Anolis sagrei: one gene and its partners. The protein of the gene in region 1 purifies or fractionates together with the protein of each later gene. This does not show direct contact. Links are inferred from orthologs where the notes say so. Each region holds a gene or a part of one and is shown in the gene's direction. Other genes may lie near its edges.

What was found.
Region 2: the proteins of NEK2 (region 1) and ANAPC2 purify together in Homo sapiens (affinity purification with mass spectrometry; 4 studies listed by BioGRID and IntAct, with this or other methods). This does not show direct contact. The link is inferred for Anolis sagrei from reciprocal best matches to the Homo sapiens genes NEK2 and ANAPC2.
Region 3: the proteins of NEK2 (region 1) and ANAPC1 purify together in Homo sapiens (affinity purification with mass spectrometry; 3 studies listed by BioGRID and IntAct, with this or other methods). This does not show direct contact. The link is inferred for Anolis sagrei from reciprocal best matches to the Homo sapiens genes NEK2 and ANAPC1.
Region 4: the proteins of NEK2 (region 1) and ANAPC7 purify together in Homo sapiens (affinity purification with mass spectrometry; 3 studies listed by BioGRID and IntAct, with this or other methods). This does not show direct contact. The link is inferred for Anolis sagrei from reciprocal best matches to the Homo sapiens genes NEK2 and ANAPC7.

Annotation. Positions count from the first base shown.
Region 1 is NC_090021.1:32,210,761-32,218,526, reverse strand, and holds the start of NEK2 (serine/threonine-protein kinase Nek2), read left to right. Parts: upstream 1-4,747; 5' UTR 4,748-4,820; coding exon 4,821-4,916; intron 4,917-7,766. UniProt on the Homo sapiens protein: Protein kinase which is involved in the control of centrosome separation and bipolar spindle formation in mitotic cells and chromatin condensation in meiotic cells.
Region 2 is NC_090031.1:15,871,963-15,879,660, reverse strand, and holds the start of ANAPC2 (anaphase-promoting complex subunit 2), read left to right. Parts: upstream 1-4,681; 5' UTR 4,682-4,699; coding exon 4,700-4,765; intron 4,766-6,672; coding exon 6,673-7,316; intron 7,317-7,698. Other genes in the region: microtubule nucleation factor SSNA1, read right to left, coding at 537-647, 1,188-1,387, 4,525-4,576. UniProt on the Homo sapiens protein: Together with the RING-H2 protein ANAPC11, constitutes the catalytic component of the anaphase promoting complex/cyclosome (APC/C), a cell cycle-regulated E3 ubiquitin ligase that controls progression through mitosis and the G1 phase of the cell cycle.
Region 3 is NC_090021.1:24,115,031-24,122,562, reverse strand, and holds the start of ANAPC1 (anaphase-promoting complex subunit 1), read left to right. Parts: upstream 1-4,527; 5' UTR 4,528-4,699; intron 4,700-6,850; 5' UTR 6,851-6,874; coding exon 6,875-7,087; intron 7,088-7,532. UniProt on the Homo sapiens protein: Component of the anaphase promoting complex/cyclosome (APC/C), a cell cycle-regulated E3 ubiquitin ligase that controls progression through mitosis and the G1 phase of the cell cycle.
Region 4 is NC_090034.1:42,384,404-42,391,876, forward strand, and holds the start of ANAPC7 (anaphase-promoting complex subunit 7), read left to right. Parts: upstream 1-4,457; 5' UTR 4,458-4,586; coding exon 4,587-4,687; intron 4,688-7,473. UniProt on the Homo sapiens protein: Component of the anaphase promoting complex/cyclosome (APC/C), a cell cycle-regulated E3 ubiquitin ligase that controls progression through mitosis and the G1 phase of the cell cycle.

The DNA of each region.
Region 1 (7,766 bases):
GTCAGGAAGGGACTCTGAGAAAGTAGTTGAGTCAGGAGGAAGAGACCCTGAGAAGAGGAGCAGAGTCAGTTAGGGGCTCTGTGGAGTGAAGCAGTATAGACTCAGTTAGTTTTTAGTGTTTGTGAATATTTCTTCAGCAAAGGAGCTGAAGGTGAAACATCGTTAGATTGCTTGAGTTAAAAAGAATCTAACAGAGGGGGTTTTAGGATCGCCAGTAGTGGAAGACTGGAGATCAGTGGTTTGATCCGGTATAGGACAAACAGTGAGAATATTCACAACAGGGAACACTGAAATAATAAAGCGCTTCACTGTAGAAGGAGTTTATAAGATTGTAACATCAAAAGCCTGATTTGTATCTCAACCAAGCCATATTGTAACCATCAAGCATATGCCAAGCTCAACATCTTAATATCGCAACAATACGCTTTGTTTAACAATAAACTTGTTCTCTTTGTTATTTCAAAACTGCCTCATCTCCATTGATTTTACGTTCGGTGCATTCCACTCTACCAAAGTTACCTCACAACCTAAACAGAGACTTTAATACCAGCGTCTCTATACGTGGCAGTTTAATTTAGCAGTCTCGGAACTTGCTTACAGTTATTAGTGGCATTAATACTTCTTCGCATATTTTTGGTGGCATTCAGTGGGATTAACACTTCCTTACAAAACCCTCAGAATTCAATTGGATATCCTTCTTAATAAACATAATCAGACACCATAATGCTGTCATAAGCCTTCACAGGTTTGTCCTCCCTCTATGGCAGATGTAATATCTGTTACAGCAATATACATGGGAACAAAAAAGGTAATGGTAACAAAAGAGGTTTTAATAAGTTGCTGGTTTTTCTGTTCATAGCCAAATGTATACACAATATGAACAAGATAAACATTCAGAATAATAATGAGCTATTATACTGCTTTTCCAGCAATGTTATGCTAATAGCACTTAAGATGTTAAATAAGCTGAGTATAGAATGACTGACTATTGTCTGCTGTTATGAATGAGTCCCTATATTCTTTTATACAAGTGAGTTTTCTATCAAAATGCGGTAGACCATCTTTCAGTCTTTTATTTTGTCCATTTCAGTCAAATGTTTTATTTTGGTAGCCATATGTATGCATGTGTATGTATGCACGCACACACACACACAAAGCCAACAGAGTATGACATAATTCACCTGACAAAGCTTTAAAAAGCTGGTCACAATCTTAAAGGTGCCACAAAATTGTCCTTTCCTCCCTGCTTTTTGAAAGTGATGACAAAGTGCCATCTAGTGGAATATTTGCATTACTGCCTATCAGACTAGCTAAAGCTTTATTTGAATAACTTTAATACAGTACCTAATTAGACATTTACATCTCAATTCACAAATAACTTTATCTACAGTTAGTTGAATTTAAATCTTTTCATATGCCATTCAAGATGTTGGAGGTGCTGCTGTGAACACAAACTGCACTTTTCCCTCATGTGACTTGATACATTTGTTGCCTCATTCCATGACAAGTAACTGGTCTTGTCAAATAGTTGGATATTTTGCATACCCCCAAAAGGCATTATTGCCACTTCCAAAAATCCTTCCCAGCACAACCAATGGTGAAGTAGGGTGAGAAACTGTAGCTCAATATCCGAGGGAGGCACAGAACCTTCTCCATGTTAAATGTTATGTATGTTGGTTTTTGTTAAAAAGGAACTTTAATGCCAACTAAGGACTCTTCTACACAGTTACTGTAATACAGCACCAGTTTGGCATTGCAGTTTTGAGGTGCATCTCAAAACTGCATTTTAAGGTGAATCTCGAGAGTTTTGGGGTTGCAATGGGATTATAAATGTCCTTTTTTCCCCTTCCAATTGAGAACTGGGTGAAGAATGGTCCCGGATTCAGTGGAGCTGTTTATATACTCCATCCAGGAGTTGCAGCAGCTACTAAGTTTAGCCTGTCCAGTTGAACTGATCCTGATTCGACGCCGCTAGACAGCCATCCTTACCTGTACTGTTGTCCCTAGAATCGCAGAGTTGGAAGAGACTTTAAGGTTCATCCAATACAACCCCATGGCTTGCAGAAACATTCAGTCATACCCCCCCCCCCAAAAAAAAAAAAAAAGATGGCCATCCAGCCTTGGCTTAAAAACCTCCAGAGAATGAGACTCCACTACACTCTGGAGCAGCAGCATATTCCACTGTCAAACAGCTCTTACTCTCTGAATGTTCTTCCTAATGTTTACATGGAATCTTTTTTCAGTAGTTTGAATCCATTGTTCCGTGTCCTAGTCTCCAGAGCAGCAGAAAACAAATGTTGTTTTCAGATATTTAACCACGGTTATCATGTCCCCTCTCAACCTTCTCATCTCCAAGGTAAACATGTACAGCTCCCTAAGCTGCTCAATCAAAAGACAGCCTGGCAAAATGGCACTATCTAAAAGAAAACAAAATGGTACTATCTAAAAGAAAATGTCCACCTTATGTGGCTGTGGAGTAGAACAGACAACTCTGCATTTGTATGCTTGTCCACTATGCCCTGCTTCATGTACAGAGGAAGAATTGTTGGAGGCTACAGACAATGCGGTTGCTGTTGCTTGTTTTTGGACATAAGATATTTAGCCCTTCTATTTTATCAGCTTTATACTAATTTGTGCAATGCTTTTGATACAAAATAAATAAAAGCTGCTCCTCGTGGGGCTTGGCTTCCAAATCTTTGTTTTGGTCATCCTCCTCTGAACACTTCCCAGCTTGTCCATATCCTTCTTGAATTGTACTGCCCAGAACTGGACACGGGGTTATTCTGGGTGAGGTTTGACCAAAGCAGAATAGAGTGGGACTAGGACTTCCCTCAACCTAGACACTATGCTATTGATGCAGCCTAGGATTGTTAGGTTTGGGTTTTTTTTGGATGCCACTTCACACTGTTCAGCTGGCAGTCTGCAGCAACCAGCTGGCAGTCTGCAGCATCGATGCCACACAAACAAAGAGGAGACAGAACTGCTTCCTTTTCCCGGGTTGCATTAGTGCTTGTGATGGTGTCAGCTAAGGTGCCTGGTGATGTCCAGAGCTCTCCAGAGCTCCACGGTCAACTAATGAGGTGACAGGACAACACAGCCTCAATCCCTCTGTATTTCCATGTGCCATGCAGTACAGGTAATAGGGGACAGCAGTGCATGGCCATGTAGACAGTGGACTGGTTCGAATTAAGAGCCCATCCAGCTGTTCCAATGTGCTTTTGATTAGGCAGTCCACCAGTAATTTCCCCTGTCCCTACCTTAAATTCAGCACTTTACGCCGACCCTTTTAGCGCCCTACCTCAACACTTTTGATGACACCATTCCCAGCCCTATCTACTTGATTGCTGCACTTTCCTTGCGCTCCCTTCAAGTTTGTACTCCACTCATGGAGCCTGAACCGCAGCTATATTCTATGAAGAGAGAGGGGGCCAGGGGACAGTTCAGTCTTGTCTCCTGCATATGTCATCAGCTGGGGACCCCTCCCCCCAGCATCAACTGCTGCTCTGGGCCAGAGTGAAGAGAGAGGGGGCCAGGGACAGTGCCACCTTGTCTCCTGTGCTATTCTAATAATATAATATGTTGTATATACATATAATATTTATAATGTAATGTAATATAATATTACTAATAATATATTATAATTATATATTTATATTACATGTAATATTACTAATAATATTACAATATACTGGTATTGTACAATATAGTAATGTTTAATACTCATATTGTACGATGCTAATAATATCTTGTAAGCCGCTCTGGGTCCCCTTCAGGGTGGGAAGGATGGCATATAAATGTCGTAAATAATAAATAAATATGTTCTAGCTATGTTCTTTCTCAGCCATATTATTTTGATGTTGTTTACAATTGTGATTGCTTTTATATTTTATCTGATACTTTTAATTGTGTTTTGTTTGTAATTGTTGGGCTTGTCCCTTGTAAGCCGCCCCGAGTCCCCACGAGGAGATGGTTGGCGGGGTATAAAAATAAAGTTATTATTATTAGATTATTATTCTCACTATCCCAGACTGCGTCTATGCTGATGGTGGCCCACACTGCAAGGCTGCTTTGGCTTAAACTCGAGCACTTCCCAACTTCTCCTAACACAAAGGGGTTGATTTTATTCCTTGTTACCAACAGGATGTCCAGGAGAAAATGGCAGAATCATAGTATTGGAGGAGACCACAAGGGGCCATCCGTTCCCTCAGAAAAAAAGCCATATTATTATCTTGAGCAGGCCTGGGCCAACTTGGGGCCTTCCAGGTGTTTTGGACTTCAACTCCCACCATTCCTAACAGCCTCAGACCCCTTCCTTTTCCTTAAGCGACTGAGGGGAAAAAGGAAGGGGTCTGAGGCTGTTAGGAATGGTGGGAGTTGAAGTCCAAAACACCTGGAAGGCCCAAGCCTGCCCTAGAGTCCAAAACACTTGGAGGGCCCCAACTCTGGCCATACCTGGTATAGTTGAACCCATAAACACGGAAGCGGAAGTGACCTTCGCCGAGCCTCTCTGTCTTGTTCTTTGAATGGCAACCCGTGGTCGCGACGACGGCGGCTCCAAAAGCTCAAAAGGCTTTTTTTTCTCGCGCCGCTCTCGAGCGCCACTGGCTGCGGTTGCTTAGTAACCGGGCCGAAACAGCCGTTACGCGGCGCGTGGCGGTGTTGGACGCCTCGCGGACCAATGGGAAGGCAGGCGGTTAGGCATGGGCGGGGCCGCGGCGGCCAGCCGGCCAATCAACGGCAGGCGCGGCGTGTTTTAAACATCCTCCGAGGGGGAATTGAAGCTGCGTGTTTATTGAGTGGTTGGCTTCTCTCGAAGGAAGATGCCGAGCCGCCCCGAGGACTACGACGTGCTCCTCACCATCGGCGCCGGGTCCTACGGCAGGTGCCAGAAGGTTCGGAGGAAAGCGGACGGCAAGGTGAGCGGAGGGGCAACCACCCCTGGAGGTTTCTGAGCCTGTACAGAGTGCCTCCGGCCTTCATTTAGCTTCGGGCCTGGAGCACGTGAGGCTTTGGCCTGGTTAGCCTCGTGGCCGTGGTTTGAACGTTAGGCGGCGGGTCTGGAGGCCTGGGAAAGCTTTGGGTCACACTCTCTCAGCCTCAGAGGAACAAGGCAAAGGTCAACCCTCTTTGAGCAAACATAGCCAGGAAAACACAGTCGCCATGAAAACGTGCATTGAGAATTAAAGCAGGAAAGCCCATGTTTCCCATCCTTGGTAGCAAAAAAACCAATAATAATAATAATAATAAGGCAAAAGTTTGAGCAAATCTAGCCAGGAAAACACAGTCGCCATGAAAACATGCATTGAGAATTATAGCAGGAAAGCCCATGTTTCCCATCCTTGGTAGTAAAAAAAACCCATAATAATAATAATAATATAAAACTTTATTTGTACCTCGCTACCAAGGCAAAGGTTTGAGCAAATCTAGCCAGGAAAACACAGTCGCCATGAAATAATGCATTGAGAATTATAGCAGGAAAGCCCATGTTTTCCCATCCTTGGTAGTAAAAAAACCCATAATAATAATAATAATTATTATTATTATTTGTACCCAGCTGTATCTCCCCAAGGGACTTACATGAGGCCAAGCCCACAGCACATCAATAAACAAAAGCAATAACAAATAATCAATACAAAAACAGTTAAAATAAAGACTCAAAAACAAAATACACAACAAGCCATAAACAATAACATACAGCATTTAAAAACCTATGGCCGGGTCAAATGTAATAATTAAAATTAAAAATATAATATAATAAAACTTTATTTGTACCCTGCTACCATCTCCCCAAGGGACTTACATGAGGCCAAGCCCACAGCACATCAATAAACAAAAGCAATAACAAATAATCAATACAAAAACAGTTAAAATAAAGACTCAAAAACAAAATACACAACAAGCCATAAACAATAACATACAGCATTTAAAAACAGCCTCCACCACACTCCGGGGCAGAGAGTTCCACTGCTGAACGGCTCTCACAGTCAGGAAGTTCTTCCTCATGTTCAGATGGAATCTCCTCTCTTGTAGTTTGAAGCCATTGTTCTGCGTCCTAGTCTCCAAGGAAGCAGAAAACAAGCTTGCTCCCTCCTCCCTATGGCTTCCTCTCACATATTTATACATGACTATCATATCTCCTCTCAGCCTTCTCTTCTTCAGGCTAAACATGCCCAGCTCCTTAAGCCGCTCCTCATAGGGCTTGTTCTCCAGACCCTTGATCATTTTAGTCACCCTCCTCTGGACACATCCCAGCTTGTCAAATTCCAGCTTGATTGTGTAGTATTCCTAAAGTAACTTATTTGTGTTTGGTGAGAGGCAGTAAGGTAATGTTTTGAGTGTTGGACTCTATTGGTCTTACAGTATTACTGCTACTACTACTGAGTAATAATAATAATAAAACTTTATTTATACCCTGCTATCATCTCCCCAAGGGACCCGGTGCGGCTTACATGAGGCCAAGCCCATAGTACATCAATAACAAAAACAATCAATACAACACAATTAATTTAAATCACATAAACAATAAACAGTAACACACTAGCATTTAAAAACCTATTTTTAAGACTGGCACAAGTGTGCTGATGCATATAGGCTTTTAATTATTTTAGTTAATTTAACTTTAGTTTTAATACTACTCTGTATTTAATTGTAATATTTATATGTTTTCAGTTTTAAATTGTTCGTTTCTTTTTTTAAAAAAACAACAACACCATAGTTGCTTTTGAGTTCCTTTTAAGAGAGAAAAAGTGGGATAACAATCATAATGAATGCTGGGTTGCTGTGAGTTTTCTGAGCTGTATGGCCACATTCCAGAACCATTATCTCCTCATAGAATCATAGAGTTGGAAAAGACCTCATAGGCCATCCAGCCTGACCCCCCTACCAAGAAGCAGGAAAATTGCATTCAAAGCACTCCCAGCAGATGGCCATCCAGCCTCTGTTTAAAAGCCTCCAAAGAAGGAGCCTCCACCACACTCCAGGGCAGAGAGTTCCACTGCTGAACGGCTCTCACAGTCAGGAAGTTCTTCCTAATGTTCAGATGGAATCTCCTTTCCTGTAGTTTTAAGCCATTATCCTGATGTGAACGTTGTTGTTATTGCAATTTACTCTATTTGTTTCTACCCCACTTTTCTCATGATCGAGACCCAAAGTGGTCCCCAACTTAGAAACAAATACAATTTCAAACCTACAAAAATGGGAAAATGGAATTAAACATGCAAGTCAGTTAAATATCACATTTATAATTATGTTTATGTTTATTTATACCCTGCTTTTATCTCTCCTGAAGGAGACTCAAAGCGGCTTACAATTAAAAGTATGACCACAAAATTTCAACGATACAAACATTAAAACAGAATTGAGCATAACAGTATTAAAAATTCAGTCAAAATCAATTAAAACATATTCAAAGCTAAAAATCACATTGTGACCCAGAGAAGTATTGGGAGGAATGAGCTTGGCTCCAACACTGGGCAATATCTACCTTCTCCAACCACCCTGCCGAAAACACAGATAGATTTCCATCAAACTCTGTAGGGTCTCAACCAAACCTACAAACCTGAATAGGGCAGGAGCTCAGAAGCATATAACATAATTTAATCACCATACATGATTCTCTGACTTGTTCTTAAAACACGTTTTGCTTTAGCCTGACCCTAGAAGCCAGGGCTGCATCTACACTGCAGACACAGTCTATCCCCACATTAACTATTATATCTCAAACCTTTTGAACCCTTGGAGTTGTAGTTAGGTAAGGCACCAGGACT
Region 2 (7,698 bases), on another chromosome or scaffold:
AAACCTCTCTAGTATGTTCAGTTGCTGATCAATTCCTCTGTCTTTTGTGTGCCATAGAAAAGAATAGAAAAGGGTTACAGAAGAGGCAGTTGGCTGGGTCATGCAAATTCCACACCAATGGAGAGAGACACTGGGATGTCTATGGTGGAGAAACTGAGAGGGGAAGGGGATGTCGCCGCTTCTCCCCACAAAGCCATTCCCCGTCCCAGAAAAGGATCCAAGATCTTATCATATAAGCCAATATCACCAAACTTTTTGACAATGGGGTGGCTCTATGGGATCCATTCGTAATAATATTATCCTTTCATTGTTTAAAGCTCTATATATTCTGTGTTTGCCTGCCCAGGAGTCATGTCGGCTCCTTGGCAGGTTACTGCAGTCATCATCCTTTCCAGCTGGGACAGAAAATAAACTTTGGTGGTCCAACAAAGTACGGGAGCCTTCGGAAAACAAAATCCTCTTTATTATACATTACTTTGCCTATGAAACACCTCCCCGAGAAGAGCCCAGAGTCAGAGGGATTGGAGACCAACCCTTCAGTTGTCCTTCGCTGCGGGGGGTTTGGATTCCGTGGCTCCCGTGGCACGGCTGAGGTTCCCTGCCTCCTTCCGCAGGACACTGAGCAACGTCTGGGAACTTTCCAGGATCTGGGAAGCAGGAAAGGATTGCATTTTTATGTCTGTTTTTTTGGGCTACGGCTAGACAAACATCTAAAATGGAGTCTTAGTCTGCAGCCCCTCCCACAACAAAGAGTTAAAGAAAACTGCAAACCAATACACAATGCAATAAGCAATTACATACATAAATTAATAAATTAGACATATTAGATTGATTGATAGATGGATAGAATGATAGATAAGATAGATAGATAGATCAGATAGATTGATCAGATTGATTAGATAAATTAGACAATTTGATTGATAGATGGATTAGATAGATTGATAGATGGATTAGATAGATTGATAGATGGATTAGATAGATTGATAATTAGATAGATAAGATTGATTTATTAGATAGATAAGATATATCAGATAGATAGATAGATAGATAGATGATTGATAGGTTGCTATTTCCAACAGTACAGCCTCATATAACCCAGCTCAAACTAGATAATCTGAATTCAGAAACTGGATTATATAGCAGTGTAGATCCCTAGCAGAAGCCCCCATCCCCCTCATTCCCCGCACCTTCATGTAGGCGGCTTCAGTCTCGGCGATGGTCTTATCGAACTCGTTGCGGGAGGCCATCTTGCGGGCCAGGTTCTCGTTGACGCGGGCCAGGCGCTCGGTCAGGGTGCGGATCTCGCCCTGGAGCCTGCCCTTCTCCTCCTCCTCCTGACGTATCTGCTTGGACAGCTCCTCCCGCTTCAGGCACAGGTCCTCGATGCCTAGAAGGATGGAAGGAAAGGGCAAAAGCATAGGTCAGGGGTCTCCAAACTATGGCCAATGGGCCCATTTAAGGGACTCCAGCCCCTTTGTCTCAATCAGGGGCCACTTGGAGAAGGCCAAGGCCCTGAAATACACCCAAAGGCACCAGATCCCATTGCTCTTGGGAGCTAAGCAGGGTCCACCCTGGTTGGACTTGGATGGGAAACCGACAGTGAATCCTTCCTGCTGCCGTAGGTGATGCTTCAAAAGAAGGTTGTGTCCACACTGCATGGAAGTGCCTTTCCAAGCTGTCCCCCCACCCTTTGGTTCCTCTAATTTTCATATTTTGCGTGTAATTGTTTCTCAATTTTCGGTTTGAGTTGTCCCTATTTACATGTCCGCATCCCCCTTTATGAACCCGTTTGGGCTTTAAGATAAGCTGGAGGGGGGCCTCCTCTCGATCCCATCCCCGTCGCAAGTGAGGTTGGTGGGAACGAGGGAAAAGGCCCTCTCAACAGAGCCCCGCTCCGGCTCTGGAGTGCTCTCCCCAAGGAGATCAGACAAGCAGCCACTCTCACGACTTTTAAGAATTATTTATTATTTATTTATTTCAAAGTTTTATATACCGAGCTTCTCACCTCATAAGAGGGACTCAGCCCGGTTTCCAACCATAAAAACACATACAATCGGTAAAATATCAAAATACACATTACAATAAAACATTTAAAAAGCACATATATTTAAAACTACAGTGGTCAGTCGTCATACTAAAATCGAATATACACCGTCTTCCATCCAGATCATTGTCTCATTCTTCGAAAGCCTGTCTCCATAACCACGACTTCGCCTGTTTCCTGAATGTCAGGATTGTTGGGGCGGTTCTAACCTCTGGCGGGAGAGAGTTCCAGAGTCGCGGGGCCACTACCGAGAAGGCCCTCGTTCCCACCAGCCGTGCTTGTGAGGCCGGTGGGGCCGAGAGCAGGGCCCCTCCAGACGATCTTAGTAATCTTGATGGTTCGTAGGGGGGAATATGTTCGGAGGACTTTGAAAGAAGGACTTTGAAAATGATTAGGTTAATACCTTTTAATTAACTGCTGCTCTGGGCCAGTGGAAGGGGGGGGGGCAGGAAGGCAGTTCCACCTTGTCTCCAGGCTATACTAATAATAGGTATAATATAATATAATAGTATATACATATATTTATAATATTACAATGTAATACAATATAATACTACTACTAATAATACAATATTAAAATTATATGTTTTATATTACATGTAATATTAATAATAATATTGCAATATAATGGTATAGTACAATATAGTAATATATAATACTGATATTGTACTATGCTAATAATATAATATATTGTATGTATATATATCTTGTAAGCCGCTCTGAGTCCCCTTCTGGGTGAGAAGGGCGGCATATAAATGTCGTAAAAAATAAATAAAGTGGACGAGGTCTTTGTTTTAGTGTTATGGATATATGCTGATTAGGATATTTTGGCTTGTATTTAACTTATTGGAACCACTGTGTTTTAATTTATTTTTTTACGGTTTATTGTTTAATTTGTCTATTTTTTTTGTTTTCCCTTTTTCGCTGATTTGTTATTTATTTTGTATATATTACTTATTGTATTTATTTATGCTGTAAGATAACCCGAATTCTTTTGGGGAGATGGGGTGGGATATAAATAAAGATTATTATTGTTGTTATTATATATCTAATCAATCAACCTATCATCTATGTATCTATCAATTCATCTATCTAATAAATCAATCTCATCTATCTAATCATCTCCTCTAGCTAATCCATCTATCAATCCAACTAATCAATCAATCAACCAATCTGTCTAATTTATCTAATCTATCTCTCTAATCTATCTGATCTATCTAATCTATCTATCAATCAATCTAATCTATCTATTATTCTATCTATCCATCTAATTTATCTATCGCTCTATCTTTCTGGTCTATCTGATCTATCTATCCAATCTATCAATCTAATCTACCTACCTACCTATCATTCTATCTATCTACATCAATCAATGACACTAATCTGTCTAATTAATCTGTCTATCTATCTGATCTAGCTATCTAATCTATCAATCTAATCTATCTATCCATCTAATTTATCTAATCTATCTCTCTATCTTTCTGGTCTATCTGATCTATCTATCCAATCTAATCTATCTACCTACCTACCTATCATTCTATCTATCTAATCCATCTATCAATGACACTAATCTGTCTAATTTATCTAATCTGTCTATCTGATCTAGCTATCTAGTTTTATCAATCTAATCTATCTACCTAATCCATCAATCAATCTAATTTGTCTAATGTATCTAAAAAATCTCTCTAACTGATCTATCAATCTAATCTATTGATCATTCTATCTAATCCATCTATCAATCAATCTAATCTGTCTAATTTATCTAATCTGTCTCTTTGATCTATCTATCCAATCTATCAAACTAATCTATCTACCTACCTATCATTCTATCTATTTAATCCATCTATTGATTAAACTAATCTGTCTAATTTATGTAATCTATCTCTCTAATCTATCTATCTCTCTGTCTATCTATCTATCTGATCAATCTATCAATCTACCTATCATTTTATCTATCTAATCCATGGATCGATCGATCAATCAATCAATCAATCAATCAATCAAATCTGTCTAATTTATCTAATCTGTTTCTCTAATCTATCTATCTAATCTACTCTATCACTCTATTTATCTAATCCATCTATCAATCAATTTAATTTATCTATCTAATGAAATCTATCTATCTGCCTTTGCCCTGTGTTGTGCCACCCGCCTCGAATTTCTATTGGAGGCGAAAGGAAGGCGGGGTCATGACGTCACTGGATAAACAAAGTGTTCGCGCTGTTCTAGGCCCCAAACTACATTTCCCAGGAGCCCACGCGGGAGAAGGGACGCCACAGTTGAAGCGTTTTCACCCCTTAATAGTGCGGAGGCACCCCAAACCCCTCTCCTTCCCTTTTCTCCCCACGTGTCCCCGCTTTCTGACTCCGAGCCCCGACCCGAAAAGGCCCCAAAGGTCTCTCTGCGACGCCGGCCACAGTAGGCCGCGTCTCCATAGCAACGCGAGGCCTACACTTCCGGCCGAAGCCTGAGCGACGCACATTTGACCAGCTCGTTGTTGTAGCTCTGCAGGGCGGCCCCTTGCTGGGTCATCCTCCGTCTCCGCGGGCTCGCCTTCCTTCCTTCCTCCCTCCCGCCGCGGAGAGCTCCGCCTCCTCTTCTCCGCTCAACGGCCGCCGCCTCAGAACGGAGCCCGCCTCCTCCGCCTCCGCCGGGATGGCCTTTCCCGCCGCCTGGCGCGCCCTCAGCACGGGCCTGGTCCCGCCCGCCGCCCTGGGCCTGGTACGAGCAGCCACGGGGGGAGCGGGGGTCACGTGTGAACTGGCCTCAGGTGACACGTGAAGGGTCGGGCAGGCATGGGCTCAAGTTTGCCCATGCCTGTTCTATAGTATGGAATATATTATGTTATGTTTTATTGTGTGGTATATAATACATTATATTGTATTTATTATTATATAGAATCATAGAGTTGGAAGACATCTCATGGGTCATGTATAGCAGTGGTTCCCAACCTGTGGTCCGTGGACCACTAGTGGTCCGCAAGACCTAAAATATGGTCCACAGCCTCACCATTACTACACTGTTGCAACGGGAGCAACTGGTCTCGCAAAACCCTCTAATAGTTCCGAGGCTAGTTAAATATGGTTTAAATATGTGAGCGAGCAGATGGCGACTACTGGATGCCGTATGTTCTGTATCAGAAACTAGAGCTGATGTGGTCTATCCAATACAATTTTCTGATTCAGCACCCCAGATAACCAAACTGAATCTAAAATTGACCAAAAACTGATTCGTAACCCTTTTGGTACTAATGTTGGAGAGTGCTACCTGGCCAAAGTAGTCTCTGGTCAAGAAAAGGTTGGGAACCACTGATATATATGGGTGTGTGTATGTATAACAAGACATATATGTGTGTTTGTTTGTCTATATGTATGTATAAAGTAAAGGTAAACGTTTCCCCTTGGCGTTAAGTCTAGTCATGTCCGATTCTGGGGAGTGGTGCTCATCTCAGTTTCTAAACCAAAGAACTGGCGTTGTCTGTAGATGCCTCCCAGATCGTGTGGTCAGCATGACTGCTGAAGCGGTACCTATTGATCTACTCACATTTGCATATTTTCTAACTGCTAGGTTAGCAGAAGCTAGAGCTAACAGCGGAGCTCACCTCGCTATTCGAACCACTTTTCGGTCAGCAAGTTCAGCAGTGCAGCCCATCTGCTGCACCAACATGGGCTGTAGCTGTCCTTTCTTCTTCCCACTCCTTTGTGAACTTTCTGTCTCTGACGGGGCATGTGCTGTTGTTATTGTTGTAGTTGTTAATAATGTTATACGTCCCGCTTTCTTCTCTTAACAAGACTCAGGGCCTTTCCACACAGTCATATAATCCAGAATATCAAGGCAGAATATTTATTTATTTATTTATTTATTTATGGCATTTTAATGCTGTCCTTCTCATCCCGAAGGGGACTCAGAGCGACTTACAAGTTACATACAATATATTATATTATTAGCATAGTATAATATCAGTATTAAATATTACTTTATTGTACTATACCATTATATTGTAATATTATTAGTAATATTACATATAATATAAATATATATTTATATTTATAATATTATATTATTATTAGTGGTAGTATTATATTGCATTACATTATAATATTATAAATATTATATGTATATACAATATATTATATTATATTATACTATTTTATATTATTAGCATAGCACAGGAGACAAGATGGAACTGTCCCATGCCCCCCCCCCTTCACTATGGCCCAGAGCAGCAGTTGTTGCGGGGGGGGGGGGGGGATCCCCAACTGATGACATATGCAGGAGACAAGATGGAACTGTCCCCTGGTCCCATCTCTCTTCACTCTGGTCCAGAGCAGCAGTTAGTGCTGGGGGAGGGGTTCCCAACTGATGACATATCTGATTTGAGCTGAAACATCAGAATCCACACTGACATATATCCCAGTTCAAAACAGATAATGTGGGATTTCATTTGGCTGTATGAATGAAAGGGGCCTCAAAGTGACTCAAAAGGCTATAAACAATACAAATGACCCTTTAAAACCTACAACAACATAGAATGGCTAAAAGAGATAGCAAGGGACGCCTCATGCCTTGCACCTCTGGCTCAGTCTTCAAAGCTTTCTCCATTAAGTCTGCCTCTTGTGGTTTCCCAGGCGCTGGTGCCAGAGTCGGAGCCGGCAGACATCCCATCGGAGCGGGACCTTCACGCAGCGGTAGAGGTGCTGAAGGCCCATGGCCTGCATTCAGCGCTGGAGGAGTGGTTCCTGGAGGTACTGCAGATGGATCTGCAGGCGCGCATCTCCCCCGAGTTTTGGAGCGGCGTGTCCCAGCACGAGAACACGGCCGAAGAGGCTCAGTGCTCCCTCCTGATCCTGGATGCTTTTTCCCTCCTCTGGCGCCGGCTGGAACCCTACCTGCGCAGCCTGACCATGATGGAGGGCTGGACACAGGAGGGCTTGCTCCTCGGGACGGGCGCCCAGCCGCTCAGGGCCAAGGTACACAGCCTGCTTCGGGCCGTCCTCTTCTTCAGCACCCCTCATAGCTTCGGGGAGATGGTTCGGCAGTTCTATGGCCGCAGCTTCAAGATTTACATGTGGCGGAAGAGGAGTCGGGAGCCCAGGATGTCCGAGGGGGAGAGCGGCATGAGTGAGGACCACCAGGCAGAAAGTGAGGAGGAGGAGGAGATCTTGGGAGAGCCTGCCAGAAAAGGAAGCCAGTGCGCCGGGTGCGGGTGTCAGAGGGAGCGCTGCTGGTGCGTAACAGCTGTGGAGCACTTCCAGCAACTCAACAGTATTCTGTAAGTACAATTGTCTGCTTTTGGGAGGGGGGTCTGATGATGGAGTGAAGGGGACTTAGGGATGAAAGGGGGCCTGGGGGTCCTCTTGTGAGATTTGACCTCCATGCTGCTCTTTCCTTCAGCTTTCCTAGTTGGTGGATAATTGTTAAGAAAATGGGGGAGCTGTTTTCTGACATGTCTGAAAGTCGCCAGAAGGGGAAGGTATGCTTGATAAAGGATCCAAGAGCAACAACTAGTCTCCCCAAGCATCAAATGGAAGGAATATTAACCATAATTCCCAGCCTGTATGTCCAGTTCTCTTTGCTTGTAGACTTCTGTGTTCTACACCCGTTCCTTCTTCCTTTCCATTTCTGATTGTCACCAGAAGGTTGTAGTTGTCCTC
Region 3 (7,532 bases), about 8.1 Mb from region 1:
TATGCACAGAAATGGAAGAATTCAGCAGCAGAGATCAGAAGACCAGACGATAAACCTCACAACCTCTGAGGATGCCTGCCACAGATGCAGGCAAAATGTCAGGAGAGAATGCTTCTGAAACATGGCCATACAGCCCAGAAAACACACAACAACCCATAACTCTCCAAGTTTCTTAGTATTATTTTTTCTTGGGCAAAAATCCTTTTCAATTTGGTTTTCAAATCTTACAATCCTTTCCATCTTCATGCCAAAATTCAATAAAAGGTTCCCAGTCATGCAACATTTTTTCCAATGTTCCTTGTTTTTTAATAAGCAGCTTAATTTATCTACCTCACCAAGTCCATAATTTTTATCATCTAGTCTTCTATTGTTGGTGCTGAGTTCTTCCATTTCTGCCCATATAGTAATCTGGCTGCTGTGATCATATATTGAAACAATCTACTATAGTAATTTGTATCATTCAATCCAAGTAAAGAAGTATCTGGTTTTACCTGGATATTTTTCCCAAAAAATTTCTGGATCAACTTATGGACTGAATCCAGTATTTCTTGGCAATTTACATGTCCACCACATATGGTAGAAAGACCCCACTTGTTGTTTACATTTCCAGCAAGTGTCGGAAACCTCTTTAAACGTTTTAGAAAGCTTTTCAGGAGTCATGTATTATTGGCACATCATTTAATTCAGCATGCACTACTGAAAATAAGGATTCTTTTCACTGTAATACAGTCGTTGGCCACAAGTTGTCGCATGTGTGACTAATTAGGCAGTCATACCATAGTGCATGTTGAGATATTTAGGGTGAGAACAGTGTTCAAGCCCTTGGCCTTCCCAGGTAATTTTCAATTTTCTATTGGCTTCATGGTTATCTAGGTGGAAAGCACACACTTGTATCTTGGCAGAGTTAGGCTTCAGGTGGTTATCTTTGTTTTTGTTTTTGTTTTTTTTTCATGTCAAGAGCGACTTGAGAAACTGCAAGTTGCTTCTGGTGTGAGAGAATTGGCCATCTGCAAGGATGTTGCCCAGGGGACGCCTGGATGTTTTGATGTTTTACCATCCTTGTCGGAGGCTTCTCTCATGTCCCTGTATGGGGAGCTGGAGCTGACAGAGGGAGCTCATCCATGCTTCTGGCCCAGTGTATCTGTCCGAACGGATCTCCCTCTATGTCCCACCCCGGAGTCTAAGATCTTCTGGAGAGGTCCTGCTCTCGACCCCGCCTCTATCACAGGTGAGATTGGCGGGGACGAGAAGCAGGGCCTTTTCGGTGGTGGCCCCCCACCTGTGGAACTCACTCCCCGGGGAAATTAGATCTGCAACATCGCTCCTTTCTTTTAGGAAAAAACTAAAAACATGGATCTGGGACCAGGCATTTGGTCAGGCGGGCAGATAGAGAGAGAACTTTATGGATGGCTAGGAAATGACTAATGGACTGGACACGAGGAACTCTGGAAACGAAACGCTGATTATAAGAATGTTTTTATATGATATTTTATATAATATGTTGGGCACCGGTTGCTGATGTTTTAACTGTGATGATCGTTTTAATTATATTTCTGTATATTTATTTTTGTATATTTTTGTATACTATGTGTAGTGTATAAAGGCATCGAATTCTGCCTTCTTTGTAAGCCGCCCTGAGTCCCCCTCCGGGGGTTGAGAAGGGCGGGGTAAAAGTACCAGAAATAAATAAATAAATAAATGCTTTCCCTAGATTTGAACCTTCGACCTGTTGGTTTTCAGTCCTGCCGTCACAAGAGTTTAACCCATTGCGCCATGGGGAGCTCTGTTATCTTTGTAGTAGCTGGAGAGATCTTTCAGGGGATTAGTAAATTGCTTGTTGACTTTTGCTTATGTTGTTAGGCCAAGGTCATCAGCGTTTATAAAGCTCTTTGTGAGTGGTGGTTGTGGCTGATCCTTAGTAAAGATGTTAAACAAGGCTGGTGCAAGAAGGCTGCCTCGAGGTAAACCTTTTTTTTCTTTTTGCCTCTTCCACCTACTTTTCCTGCCCTGAAACTCCATATAGAAGCTGCAGTTTTCTAGGAGGGTCTGCATAGTTTTTATAAAACCATAGTTCCGGGTGATATGGTAGACTTTATGCAGCATGTCCAGTTAGTTGTGTTAGATTCAAATGGATTTATTTATTTGTTGTTGTTGTTCATTCGTTCAGTCGTCTCCGACTCTTCGTGACCGCATGGACCAGCCTACGCCAGAGCTCCCTGTCGGCCGTTACCACCCCCAGCTCCCTCAAGGTCAGTCCAGTCACTTCAAGGATGCCATCCATCCATCTTGCCCTTGGTCGGCCCCTCTTCCTTTTGCCTTCCACTTTCCCCAGCATAATTGTCTTCTCTAGGCTTTCCTGTCTCCTCATGATGTGGCCAAAGTACTTCAACTTTGTCTCTAGTATCTTTCCCTCCAGTGAGCAGTCGGGCTTTATTTCCTGGAGGATGGACTGGTTGGATCTTCTCGCAGTCCAAGGCACTCTCAGCACTTTCCTCCAACACCACAGCTCAAAAGCATCGATCTTCCTTCGCTCAGTCTTCCCTAAGGTCCAGCTCTCACATCCGTAGGTGACTACAGGGAATACCATGGCTTTGACTAGGCGGATCTTTGTTGCCAATTAGGCGGATCTTTGTTGTATTTATTTAGGACATTTCTATCCCGTTGTATCTCGACCTCCGCAGAGGGACTCAGGGCGGCTAACAACCAACACACCATGGTGTCCACAACCAAAACCAAAAGCAAAAATATACAATTTAAATAAAACCAATATAAAAACAGTATAAAAACATTCAAACAGTCAGTCGCCGATTTAAGTCATTGCCCTAAAAGCAGTCCATTAAGTCCATTAAAGCCATCACTTTGCCAGCCGGTCAACCTAATCTGCAAAGGCCTGATCCTATAGCCAGGATGTCACTTGTTTCTGAAAGGTCAGGAGGGATGGAGCTGATCTAATTTTGCTTGGAAGGGAGTTCCACAGCCAAGGGGCCACCACAGAAAAGGCCCTGTCCCTTGTCCCCACCAAACGCAATTGTGATGATGGGGGGACAATGAGAAGGGTCTCCCCGGATGATCTTAGGGTCGTAGGTGGATCTTAGTGGGAGATATGTTCAGGGCTTTATAGGCCAAAGCCAACACTTTGAATTGTGCTCGGAAGCTAGCAAATATTGTGCTCGGAATCTACCAAATATTAGGTTAGGCCAGGTCTGGGCAAACTTTGGCCTTTCAGATGTTTTGTTTCCAACTCCCACCATTCCTAACAACCTCAGGCCCTTTCCTTTTCCCACTCAGCTGCTTGAGGGGGGAAATGGCTTCAAACTACAAGAAAGGAGTCTGAGTCTGAGTGAAAGAGGGTCTACTCTAGCAAACCTTTTGTATTGTTACCCCAATACCCCCATGCATATGAGATATATTGAGCATGGTGATCAGATCATGATATGAATAAACATAACAGTTTAAATAATGTACCAGTAAGGCCTTTTTGCAGACCACCATGAAAATTGGGGGGGGGGGGGGCTGAAGCCCCCCAAGCCCCCCCCCCCCGGCTACATGCCTGTATGAGGCTGTTAGGAATGGTGGGAGTTGGTGTCCAATTCAAGGTGGTGGTTTTGATCTACAAAACCCTACACGGTTCCGGTCCAGCGTTATCTGTCCTAACGCATCTCCCTCTACGTCCCACCTCGGAGTTTGAGATCATCTGGGGAGGCCCTGCTCTCGACCCCACCGCTATCACAAGTGACGGTGGTGGGGGACGAGGAGCAGGGCCTTCTCAGTGGTGCCCCCCCACCTATGGAACTCACTCCCTCCTCTCCTTCAGGAGGAAATTAAAAACATGGTTGTGGGACCAGGCCTTCGGGCAATCTGACAACTAGATAAAGACAATTAGACGACTAGGACTGGCAGGACTGACAAAGTGGAATTGGTATTTGGACTATGAGATGGCGAAGGCTGAGTGTTAATTAGGTGAAATCGATTTTATTGGTTTTATTGTTGCAGTGCAGAAACTGATTGTGAATTGTTTAATTGCTGCTATATTGTTTTTATTCTACTGTTATGTTGATGCCGGCATCGAATCGTGCCTTTGTAAGCCGCCTCTGGGTTGAGAAGGGCGGGGTAGAAGTAACCAAAATAAATAAATAAATAAAAACAACTGGAGGGCCCAAGTTTGCCCAGGCCTGGCCTAGCCAGTATTTGCCCCTTCCTTGCCTGAAACCTCAACACAGCAGATCCAGATTGTCAAAGCAGACAATCTGGATTCAGAAAAGTGGATTATATGGCAGTGTAGATGGGGCCATAAAAGGTTTTCACCAAGGATAAATAAATCAAGCATCCCAATGAGAAGCAAGGCCAAGGAATACAAGGGTATCCTGGTTGCTATAGTAACAGCAGCTGGGCCTAGGCCAGCCGCCTGTTGCCATGGGAACAGTAGAACGGAGGTCTCCCTCTTCTGCTTCCCTCCATCCTTCCTGCCTGACTTGGGAAGCCTCAAAGGCGCCGTTTTACTGACATCCGTTAGCCCCGCCTCCGGCCTTGTCGCGGGTGGTGATGGGAGTTGCAAGATGGCGGCGCCCGTGTGAGAAGCTGAGGGGAGAGTGTAGTGCCGCCGAGAGGACTTCGCTTGTTGTTGCTGTCCGGGGAGAGACGGGGGAGGAGCCGCTGGAGCCCAGGCCCGCCGCCCGCCGCCCTTTCCTGTGTCACTCAGGTGGGCGAGCCTCCGTTGCCCTCGTCCTGGGCCCTTTCAGCAGCAGCCATGCTTCCCGCCTTCTCTCCCCTTCATTCAGTCGAAGAGTTAATGCAGCTTGAGACAACTTGAACCCTGGGATTTGTAGCTTGGTGGGGCACCCACACTCTTTGGCTACTACAAATCCCAGCATCCCAGAATGGGGGATGCCTGGCTTATTGCTGGGGTTAGGTTCCAGGACCTCCCGCAATAATTGAAAAACTGCGATGTAGGGATGCTCTATCTATTTAATTTAATATTTATACATTATTTTAGTAGTTATACACTATTCTAAGTCTTTATAAACTTAAAGTGAAGGAAAGGAAGAAAAGGCCCTTCAAGGCTGGAGGGAGGACTGAGGAGCGAAAGCAAAACACCAAAAATACAGCAATATATATTTTAAATTAATAATTTTTGAAAACCGCGAAACAGCGAGTCTGCTAAAAGCGCGAAGTAGCGAGAGAACACTGTACGTGTGAGAAAGATCTTGGAGTCCTCGTGGACAGCAAGTTCAACATGAGCCAACAATGCCATGCAGCAGCAAAAAAAGTCAATGGGATTTTGACCTGCATAAATAGGAATCTAGTGCCTAGATCCAGCGAAGTCATGCTACCTCTCTGTTTTGCCTTGGTTATACCACACCTGGAATACTGTGTCCAATTCCGGGCATCACAATTGGAGGGAGATGTTGACACTGGAATGTGTCTAAAATGATCAAGGGTCTGGAGAACAAGCCCTGGCAAAAGTATGGTAGCTGGGATCCTACGCTGGTTGCACAACACTGGTCTGAATTAATGAGGGGAACACGTGTGCAAGACAGCACAGCGGAGCTGTGTCAGAGTCGTGGCAAGGTAGTTCGCCAGAAAGGGGAAGAGGAAACATTTCTATTCCATTTACCATCTTTGTAAGCCGTTGTTTATTATTTAACAGTAAATAACTCTAACATTACTTCATTCACCTTAAGCACTATGCTTGGCTGTTTGTTGTGTAACTCCTTTGGTTTGGTTGTAGCAGATCTTAGCTGAATCCATTTTACACCTATTGAGTGGTCTGGGTGCCTTAATTTTAGAGCACTGAAAGAAAAGGGAGTAGTAGAATTGAAGATTTTTTTGGTTGTGTCAGGAGCGACTTAAGAAACTGCAAGTCGTTTCTGGTGTGAGAGAATTGGCCGTCTGCAAGGACGTTGCCCAGGGGACGCCCAGATGATTTTAATGTTTTTATCATCCTTGTGGGAGGCTTCTCTCATGTCCCCGCATGAGGAGGTGGAGCTGATAGAGGGAGCTCATCCGCCTCTCCCCGGATTCGAACCTGCGACCTGTCGGTCTTCAGTCCTGCCGACACAAGGTTTTAACCCACTGCGTCACCAGGGGCTCCAGAATTGAAGATAATACTATGTAACAAAATTTGAAAAAAAAATCTTCCTGGTTTGAAAGTGTTATTTCCTGTTTAATTGTGCAATACTTACTTTGAAAGTAGTTATTCTACTTCAGAAACTTTGTTTCTGTGATTGCCACAAACTATGTTGAATTGGTTGATATAAAATATTCATTGAAAAACTAGAGCAAAATGTGTTGCAGGATATCCCGCAAAAACAAAGTTTTTGCAGTTTGATAACTGTTTTCCATCTTTTAATGATAGAACCAATTAGGAAATGACAATTATAACCTAGGAACAAAATTTGTATTACATAGTGTATATGTTGAGCAAAAGTATTGTGGCAACTTAAACATTAGCAACTTTTATCTGATGTAAGTTTTCATAGATTGCAGCCTGCTTCTTTAGATGCAGTAGAAGAAAGTGGGCATAGTCAGCAAATGCATACAATTTGTAAAATTTATTTGTCTCTTAGGTGGTACAATAACTTAATATGACTGCATTTATATGTCAACTGTCAAGTTATGGTGACCTTATGAATTTCATTGCTTGGGAAACTTGGTGGTAGATTTGTACTTCTTTCCTCTGAAATATAGCCTACATACAGCCAGTGGTTTTCCAAATAATAATCAGAACTGACATTACTTACCTTCCAAGTTCAGATAGGATCTGGTGTCATAGGGTATTTAGGTCATGCTGCCATTCTGAAAATGGTTTCACTGTTGAACACCTTCTGTCTGCATTTTGGTCTTTTTTCAGAAATAATGTTGATATTTGGAACTCATGTCGAACATCTATGAAGAGAGGGTAATGATGATTGCAGCAGGGGATTTGCAGGAGTTTGTCCCTTTTGGCCGTGACCACTGCAAGCACCATCCTAATGCGTTGAACCTGCAACTTCGGCAGCTGCAGCCAGCCTCGGAAATTTGGTCGTCAGATGGAGCAGCTGGTTTGGTGGGGTCGCTTCAGGAAGTTACAATCCATGAGAAACACAAGGTAGGAAGTGGCACTTTTGAAAATACAAATGTATAACTTACACCAAAAAAAAAAAAAAAAAAGATAAGCAAAGAACAGAGGAAAGCAATACAAAGCTGCAAAGGAAAAGGCAGGGAAACATAATGATCTGTTAACCTAAATACTAACTCATAAATATGCCACGCATGTGGATCCCTTTGCTTAATGAAAACTCAGTGAAATGTGAAAAACATGTATTTTACCTGGAATAAAGCTGTAGATGAGCAACACTTGAAGCCTTGTCTTCCATCATTATATATTTATTACTTATATGTCTCTTTTCTTCTGGCATGGCTCCCAAGGCAGCTCCCAAGTAAACTTGGTTAAAACCTTACAGTAAATAAATAAAAACAATTAATCTGTCTGCAAAGGGAAACCAAGGAAAAGCCAGCGTAGCCTTCCTTAGAAGTCCATTACAGATTGTGGG
Region 4 (7,473 bases), on another chromosome or scaffold:
CAACGTGGCCGGTCCAGTGGAGTTGATGGTGGAGGACCATCGCTTCAATGCAGGTGGTCTTTGCTTCTTCCAGCATGCTGACATTTGTCCACTTATCTTCACAAGAGATTTGCAGGATTTTTCAGTGGCAACGCTGATGGAATCATTCTAGGAGGTGCATGTGATGTCTGTAGACAGTCCATGTCTCACAGGCGTATAGCAGGGTTGGGAGGACAATAGCTTTATAAACAAAGTGCTCTTCCAGCAGTCACCGGCCAATCCCTCTCCAATGCCAGAAATACAGCTTAATGGTGTAACATTAGAGTTGACCATTTCTGCTACTTGGCAGCCACCTCTCCACAAAAGTCAACACTGACACCGAAATACAACACCGCCTGAGCTCTGTGAGTGCAGCATTTTTCCAAATGAAGCAGAGAGTGTTTGAGAACCGGGACATCCGTAGGGATACCAAGGTGCTAAAGGTCTTAAGCCTTCCCTATCAAGCTACCTCTGCCATGGTCTCATAGCATTGAGGCCCTTCCCACACAGCTGAGTAATACCTCACATTATCTGAGTGTGGGCTCAGATAACCCAGTTCAGAACAGATATTGTTGGATTTTCTGCCAGATATTCTGGGTTACATGGCTGTGTGGAAGGGAACAGTTAAAACTCGTGCGCCAACTGCGCCCGTACCTTGGGAAGTCTGACTTGGCCACGGTAGTCCATGCTCTGGTTACATCCCGTTTAGACTACTGCAACGCTCTCTATGTGGGGTTGCCTTTGAAGACGGCCCGGAAGCTCCAGTTAGTCCAACGCTCGGCAGCCATGATACTAACTGGAGCGGAGCGCAGGGAGCATACAACTCCTCTGCTGCACCAGCTCCACTGGCTGCCGATTTGCTACCGGGCTCAATTCAAAGTGCTGCCGTTGGCCTTTAAAGCCCTAAACGGTTCTGGCCCAACTTACCTATCCGAACGTATCTCGGCCTATCAGCCCACCAGGACCCTAAGATCTTCTGGGGGGGGGGCTGCTCTCTATCCCGCCTGCTTCACAGGTGCGGCTGGCGGGGACGAGGGACAGGGCCTTTTCTGTGGTGGCCCCGCGGCTATGGAACGCCCTCCCCATGGAGGTAAGATCAGCCCCCTCATTGATGGTTTTCCGGAAAAGACTAAAAACCTGGATGTTCGAGCAGACGTTCGGTTAACTCAGTGCAATAAGTGTAATTGATTGAAGGACTGGCAATTTGGACGACGAAACTGGATCGCGATTTTAGTCAAGAGATGAATTGGATTGTTTATTGATATATGTACTGTGGATTGTGTTTTTATGTTTTTAAACTGTATACTGTTGTTTGTTATAAGTTGTTGTAAACCGCGTTGAGTCGCCGGCTAGGCTGAGAAACGGCGGTATACAAATATAGCAAATAAATAAATAAATAAACTGAGTCAGGGCAGTTAAAGTGGTGTTAAAATGCATTCATTCTACAGTGTAGATGCTATGACTCTGGAGAAGAGGGTTCAAATCCCCACACAATAGGTGACTCACACTCTCTCAGCCTCTACGGATTATTTATTTATTTACTCTACTTATATACCGCTGTTCTCAGCCCGAAGGCGACTCACAGCGGTTCACAACAAACAAGAACAGCAGAAATTCAATGCTCCAATATAAAAACAATTAACAACCTAACACATTACACACTTAGAAAACAATTACTACAATAACCATTCACTAGCGTCTCATCACTAAAGGACAGGATCCAGAATCGTCATCCATTGTTCCATTCCTATGTCATTACAGTTCATTGCACTAATTCTTCGAACGCCTACTCAAACAACCAGGTCTTCACTTTTTTGCGGAAAACTATTAGAGATGGTGCTAGTCTAATGTCTGTGGGAAGGGTGTTCCACAGCCGAGGAGCCACCACCGAGAAGGCCCTATCTCTCGTCCCCGCCAGCCGTGCTTGTGAAGCAGGCGGGATCGAGAGCAGGGCCTCCCCGGAAGATCTCAAAGTCCTGGTGGGTTCATAGGCCGAGATGCGGTCGGATAGGTAACTTGGGCCGGAACCGTTTAAGGCTTTATAGGCCAACGCCAGCACCTTGAATTGAGCCCGGTAGCAGATCGGTAGCCAGTGGAGCTGGTACAACAGGGGGGTTGTGTGCTCCCTGTGTTCCGCTCCTGTTAAAATCATGGCTGCCACACGTTGGACTAGTTGAAGCTTCCGAGCCGTCTTCAAGGGCAACCCCATGTAGAGAGTGTTGCAGTAGTCTAGACGGGATGTAACCAGAGCGTGGGCTACCGTGGCCAAGTCAGACTTCCCAAGGTACAGGCGCAGCTGGCACACAAGTTTTAACTGTGCAAATGTTCCCCTGGTCACCGCCGAAGCTTGGGGTTCCAGGCTCAGCGATGAGTCCAGGATCACACCCAAGCTGCGAACCTGTGTCTTCAGGGGGAGTGCGACCCCATCCAACACAGGCCATAACCCTATGCCCTGTTCAGCCTTGCGACTGACCAGGAGTACCTCTATCTTGTCTGGATTCAATTTCAATTTGTTCGCCCTCATCCAGACCGTTACAGCGGCCAGACACCGGTTCAGGACCTCGACAGCCTCCTTAGTAGCAGGTGGGAAGGAGTTACAAAGTTGGACATCATCTGCGTACAGATGACACCGTACCCCGAAACTACGGATGATCTCTCCCAGCGGCTTCATGTAGATGTTAAACAGCATGGGAGACAGTATTGAACCCTGTGGAACCCCACAAGACAACGGTTGTGGGGTTGACCAGGTGTCTCCCAATAACACCTTCTGGGATCGGCCCTCTAGGAATGACCGGAGTCACTGTAACACAGTACCTCCAAGTTCCATCCCCGCGAGGCGTTCCAGAAGGATACCGTGGTTGACGGTATCGAAGGCCGCTGAGAGGTCCAGCAGCACCAACAGGGACACACTCCCCCTGTCGAGCTCCCGGCGTAGATCATCCACTAAAGCGACCAAAACTGTCTCAGTTCCATGTCCCGGTCTGAAACCAGACTGTGCCGAATCCAGATAATCTGTGTCTACCAAGAATACCTGGAGTTGTGAGGCCACCACGCATTCCAGGACTTTGCCCAAAAAGGGGAGATTGGACACTGGCTGAAAGTTGTCAAATTTAGGGGGGGTCCAGTGATGGTTTTTTCAACAGCGGTTTTATTATAGCTTGTTTTAAGCTCGCTGGAATATTGCCTTCCCGAAGGGAGGCATTAACCACCACCTCAACCCACTCAGCCAATCCCCCTCTGGCCTCCTTTAGAAGCCAGGATGGGCAGGGGTCCAGGATGGACGTGGTAGGCCTCATTCTTCCAAGTATCTTGTCCACATCCTCGGGTTTCACCAATTGAAAAGAATTACTGTTATGCCTTCTGGCCCTAAGGATATAGGCCAGTGTTTCTCAACCTGGGGGTTGGGACCCCGGAGGGGTCGCAAGGGGGTGTCAGAGGAGTCGCCAAAGACCATAGGAAAACACAGTATTTTCTCTTGGTCATGGGGGTTCTGTGTGGGAAGTTTGGCTCAATTTTATCATTGGTGGGATTCAAGGGGCTTTTTGATTGTAGGTGAACTATAAATCCCAGAAACTATAACTCCCAAAGATCAAGGTATAATTTCCGCAAACTCCACCAGTGTTCACATTTGGGCATATTGAGTATTAGTGCCAAGTTTGGTCCAGATCCATCATTATTTGAATCCACAGTACTCTCTGGATGTAGGTGAACTACAACTCCCAAAACTCAAGATCAATATCCACCAAACCTTCCAATATTTTCTGTTGGTCATGGGAGTTCTGTGTGTCAAGTCTGGTTCAATTCCATCATTGGTGGAGTTCAGAATGCTCTTTGACTGTAGATGAACTATAAATCCCAGCAACTACATCTCCCAAATGACAAAATCAACCCCCCCCCCCCCCAACCCCACTGGTATTCAAATTTGGGCGTATTGGGTATTTGTGCCTAATTTAGCCTAGTGTATAAAATACATCCTGCATATCAGATATTTACATTATGATTCATAACAGTAGGCAAATTCCAGTTATGAAGTAGCAACGGGAAAAAAGTGTTTGGGGTTCACCACAACATGAGGAACTGTATGAAGGGGTCACGGCATTAGGAAGGTTGAGAAACACTGAGAGAGGCTTTTCTCCGAAAAAGGACACAAGCAGCCTTCCGTGCCTCGCCGCGCATGCTCAACACCTCCCTCGCTCGTCTCTCGCTTCCATAGTCACGACTCGGGAAAGGTGTCTACAGCAGTGCCTGGTTTTGTTTTATTTTAAAAATCACCCCTTTGCAAAGGACTTTTTAATTTTTTTAAAAAAGGAGGAAAGTTATAGTTAGCTGAAGTAGGAGAGTAACCCCGCAATGCGTAGAATGGAAGTTCCCCCTGAGGCTGACAGGCGAACGCCGGGGGCAGCCTTTCCTCGGTGAGGGTTGTTGTGGAAGTGTCAGGGCGGCTTTTTCGGCGAGGACCCTTCGGGGAGGCGCCATTTTAGACTTGCTGAGAGGACTCTGTCCGTTACGGCCGACTTGAAGTACGCTGTTTTTTCGTTCCCGTCCCTCTGTCGAGTCTTTCCGAGGCCATGAGCGTGGTGGACCATGTTCGGGAGATGGCAGCGGCGGGGCTGCACTCCAACGTGAGGCTCCTGAGCGGCCTCCTCCTTACGATGAGCGGCAACAACCCGTGAGTGAGGCGCTGGAGGCCGACACGGGAGGCTTGGTGGCCTCCGACCCGCTTTCAACCCAAAGGAGAGTTGGTGGAGAAGCCTTGCAGGCACACTGAGGACCCTTCCACACAGCTGAATCAAATCCCACATTTGAACTGGAATATATGGCTGTGTAGACTCAGATAACCCAGTTCAAAGCAGATATTGTGGGATTTTCTGCCTTGAGATTCTGAGTTACATGGCTGTGTGGAAGGGCCCTGAGTTATATGGCTGTGTGGAAGGGCCTTCCAGGCAGGCCCATTATCCCAGGATCTAATCCCAGGTTTTCTGTTTATAATAATAATAAATAATAATAAACTTTATTTGTACCCTGCCACCAACCTGTGTTGGACGGGGTTACACTCCCCCTGAAGCCACAGGTCCGCAGTTTGGGAGTCCTCTTGGATTCATCGCTAATGCTTGAGGCTCAGGTGTCGGCGGTGTCCGGGAGGGCTTTCGCACAATTGAGACTCGTGCGCCAACTGCGACCGTACCTTGCGAAGGCTGATCTGGCCGGGGTGGTCCATGCCTTGGTCACCTCCAGATTGGACTACTGCAATGCGCTCTATGTGGGGCTGCCCTTGAAAACAGCTCGGAAGTTCCAACTGGTCCAACGGGCAGCAGCCAAGATGTTAACTGGCGCTCCTTACAGAGAGAGGTCAACCCTCCTGTTCAAGGAGCTCCACTGGCTGCCGTTTATTTTCTGAGCCCAATTTAAGGTGCAGGTGCTTACCTACAAAGCCCTGAACGGTTTGGGACCATCCTACCTGCGTGACCACATCTCCGTCTACGAACCCACGCGTTCACTGTGGTCATCTGGAGAGGCCCTGCTCGTGATTCCGCCTGCGTCGCAAGCACGTTTGGTGGGGACATGAGACAGGGCCTTTTCTGTGGTGGCCCCCCGACTCTGGAACACCCTCCCCAAAGATCTTAGACAGGCCCCTACATTGGCAGTCTTCAGAAAGAACTTGAAGACCTGGCTGTTCTGATGTGCCTTCCCAGATTAGGAAATCTCCAATACCAAGTCCCATAAGCACTTTATTAGAACCAAGATTGTTGCACATCGCACTCTGCACTTGCCCTATAAGCCTTATATACCACCTGTCACATCAGCACTTTCAATCTTGTACCCATTACTCTGGCCCGGCCCAGTTCTATTGTGTCTTAATATATTGTTGATTGCTTATTGTTTATATTGCCTTAATTGTTTTTAATTTGCCTTAGGTTTTGTATTGTTATATTGTGTGTTGAGGCCTTGGCCTTTGTAAGCCGCATCGAGTCCTTCGGGAGATGCTAGCGGGGTACAAATAAAGTTTAATAATAATAATAATAATAATAATCTCCCCAATGGGGACTCGAAGCGGCTTACATGAGGCCAAACCCGAACAACAAATTACAATAAAATAAAACGCAAATGGTAAAAGCAACATTGTAATAAAATAAAACATGTAAATACGTAACAATAATAATATAAAGTTACAATAGACGCAATCACAATGACAGTGGGCGGGCTGCATGTAATGATTAAAAGAGACTAATTAAAACTAATTTAAAACTCTGGTGAGATAAAAAGAGACAGATTATTTGTGGAGGAGAACTCATTATAGCAGAGTTGTGGAATCAAGCTTTCCCACAGAGGGGGGACGACATATACTCCAATGACATTTATCATTTATTCCAGATTATCTGGCAGTGCGGACTCATATAATCCAGTTCAAAGCAGAAAACCTGGGATCAGATCCTGGGATAAAGGGCCTGTCTGAGGGTCCTTCCACATAGCCCTATATCCCAGAATAACAAGGCAGAAATCCCATAATATCTGCTTTGAACTGGGTTATCTGAGTCCACACTCAGATAATGTGGGATTTCCTGCCTTGATATTTTGGGATATAGGTCTGTGTGGAAGGGCCCCAGAATATCAAGGCAGAAAATCCCACAATATCTTCTTTGAACTCTAATATCTGAGTCCACACTGCTATATATTCCAGTTCAAAGCAGATAACTTGGGATTTTATTCACATCTGTGGAAGGGGCCTCATAGAATCCAGTGCAAAGCGGATGTGAATCATCAGCTTCAATAATCTGGATTATATGGAAGTGTAGAAGGTGCCTCAAAGTGGTTTGCATTAAACACATTTCAACAATAATAATAAATAAATAAATAAACAAACATTATTTTTAGACCGCCCTATCTCCCCCGGGGAACTCGGGGCAGTTTACACATACAAAGGGAAACATTCAATGCCCGACATATACCAAAATATTACAGCAATAAAACATAATACAGAATAACAACAACATTATACTAATCAAATAAAATTAAATATCAAGATATCAACATAGAACAACTAATCACTAAACAAATACATTTAAAAGCATGATCAACAGTAAAACATCTAACGTAGTCAGCGCCGTTAAAAATTGGGTAAGCATTGGCTGTTAGTTGTTCTTAACTGTACCATAATGGCCATGAAGTACAGATTGGACAGCCTGCAATAGAATTTCAAAGCAGCAAATATACAGACATTACAACAGAATTCAATGTCATGGGTATTTTTAAATGCAGTGAAAATCCATAAAATATGATAGCGGCAAATAGAAGCAGTGTGATATCTTACCAATAACTGCTTTGGTTTTCTTTAAAAAATATGGGTATTTTAGGCCTCTTCTACACTTCCATATAATCCAGATAATCAAAGCAGGAAATCCACATGATCTGCTTTGAACTGGATTCTGTGAGTGTACACTGTCATATAATCCCGTT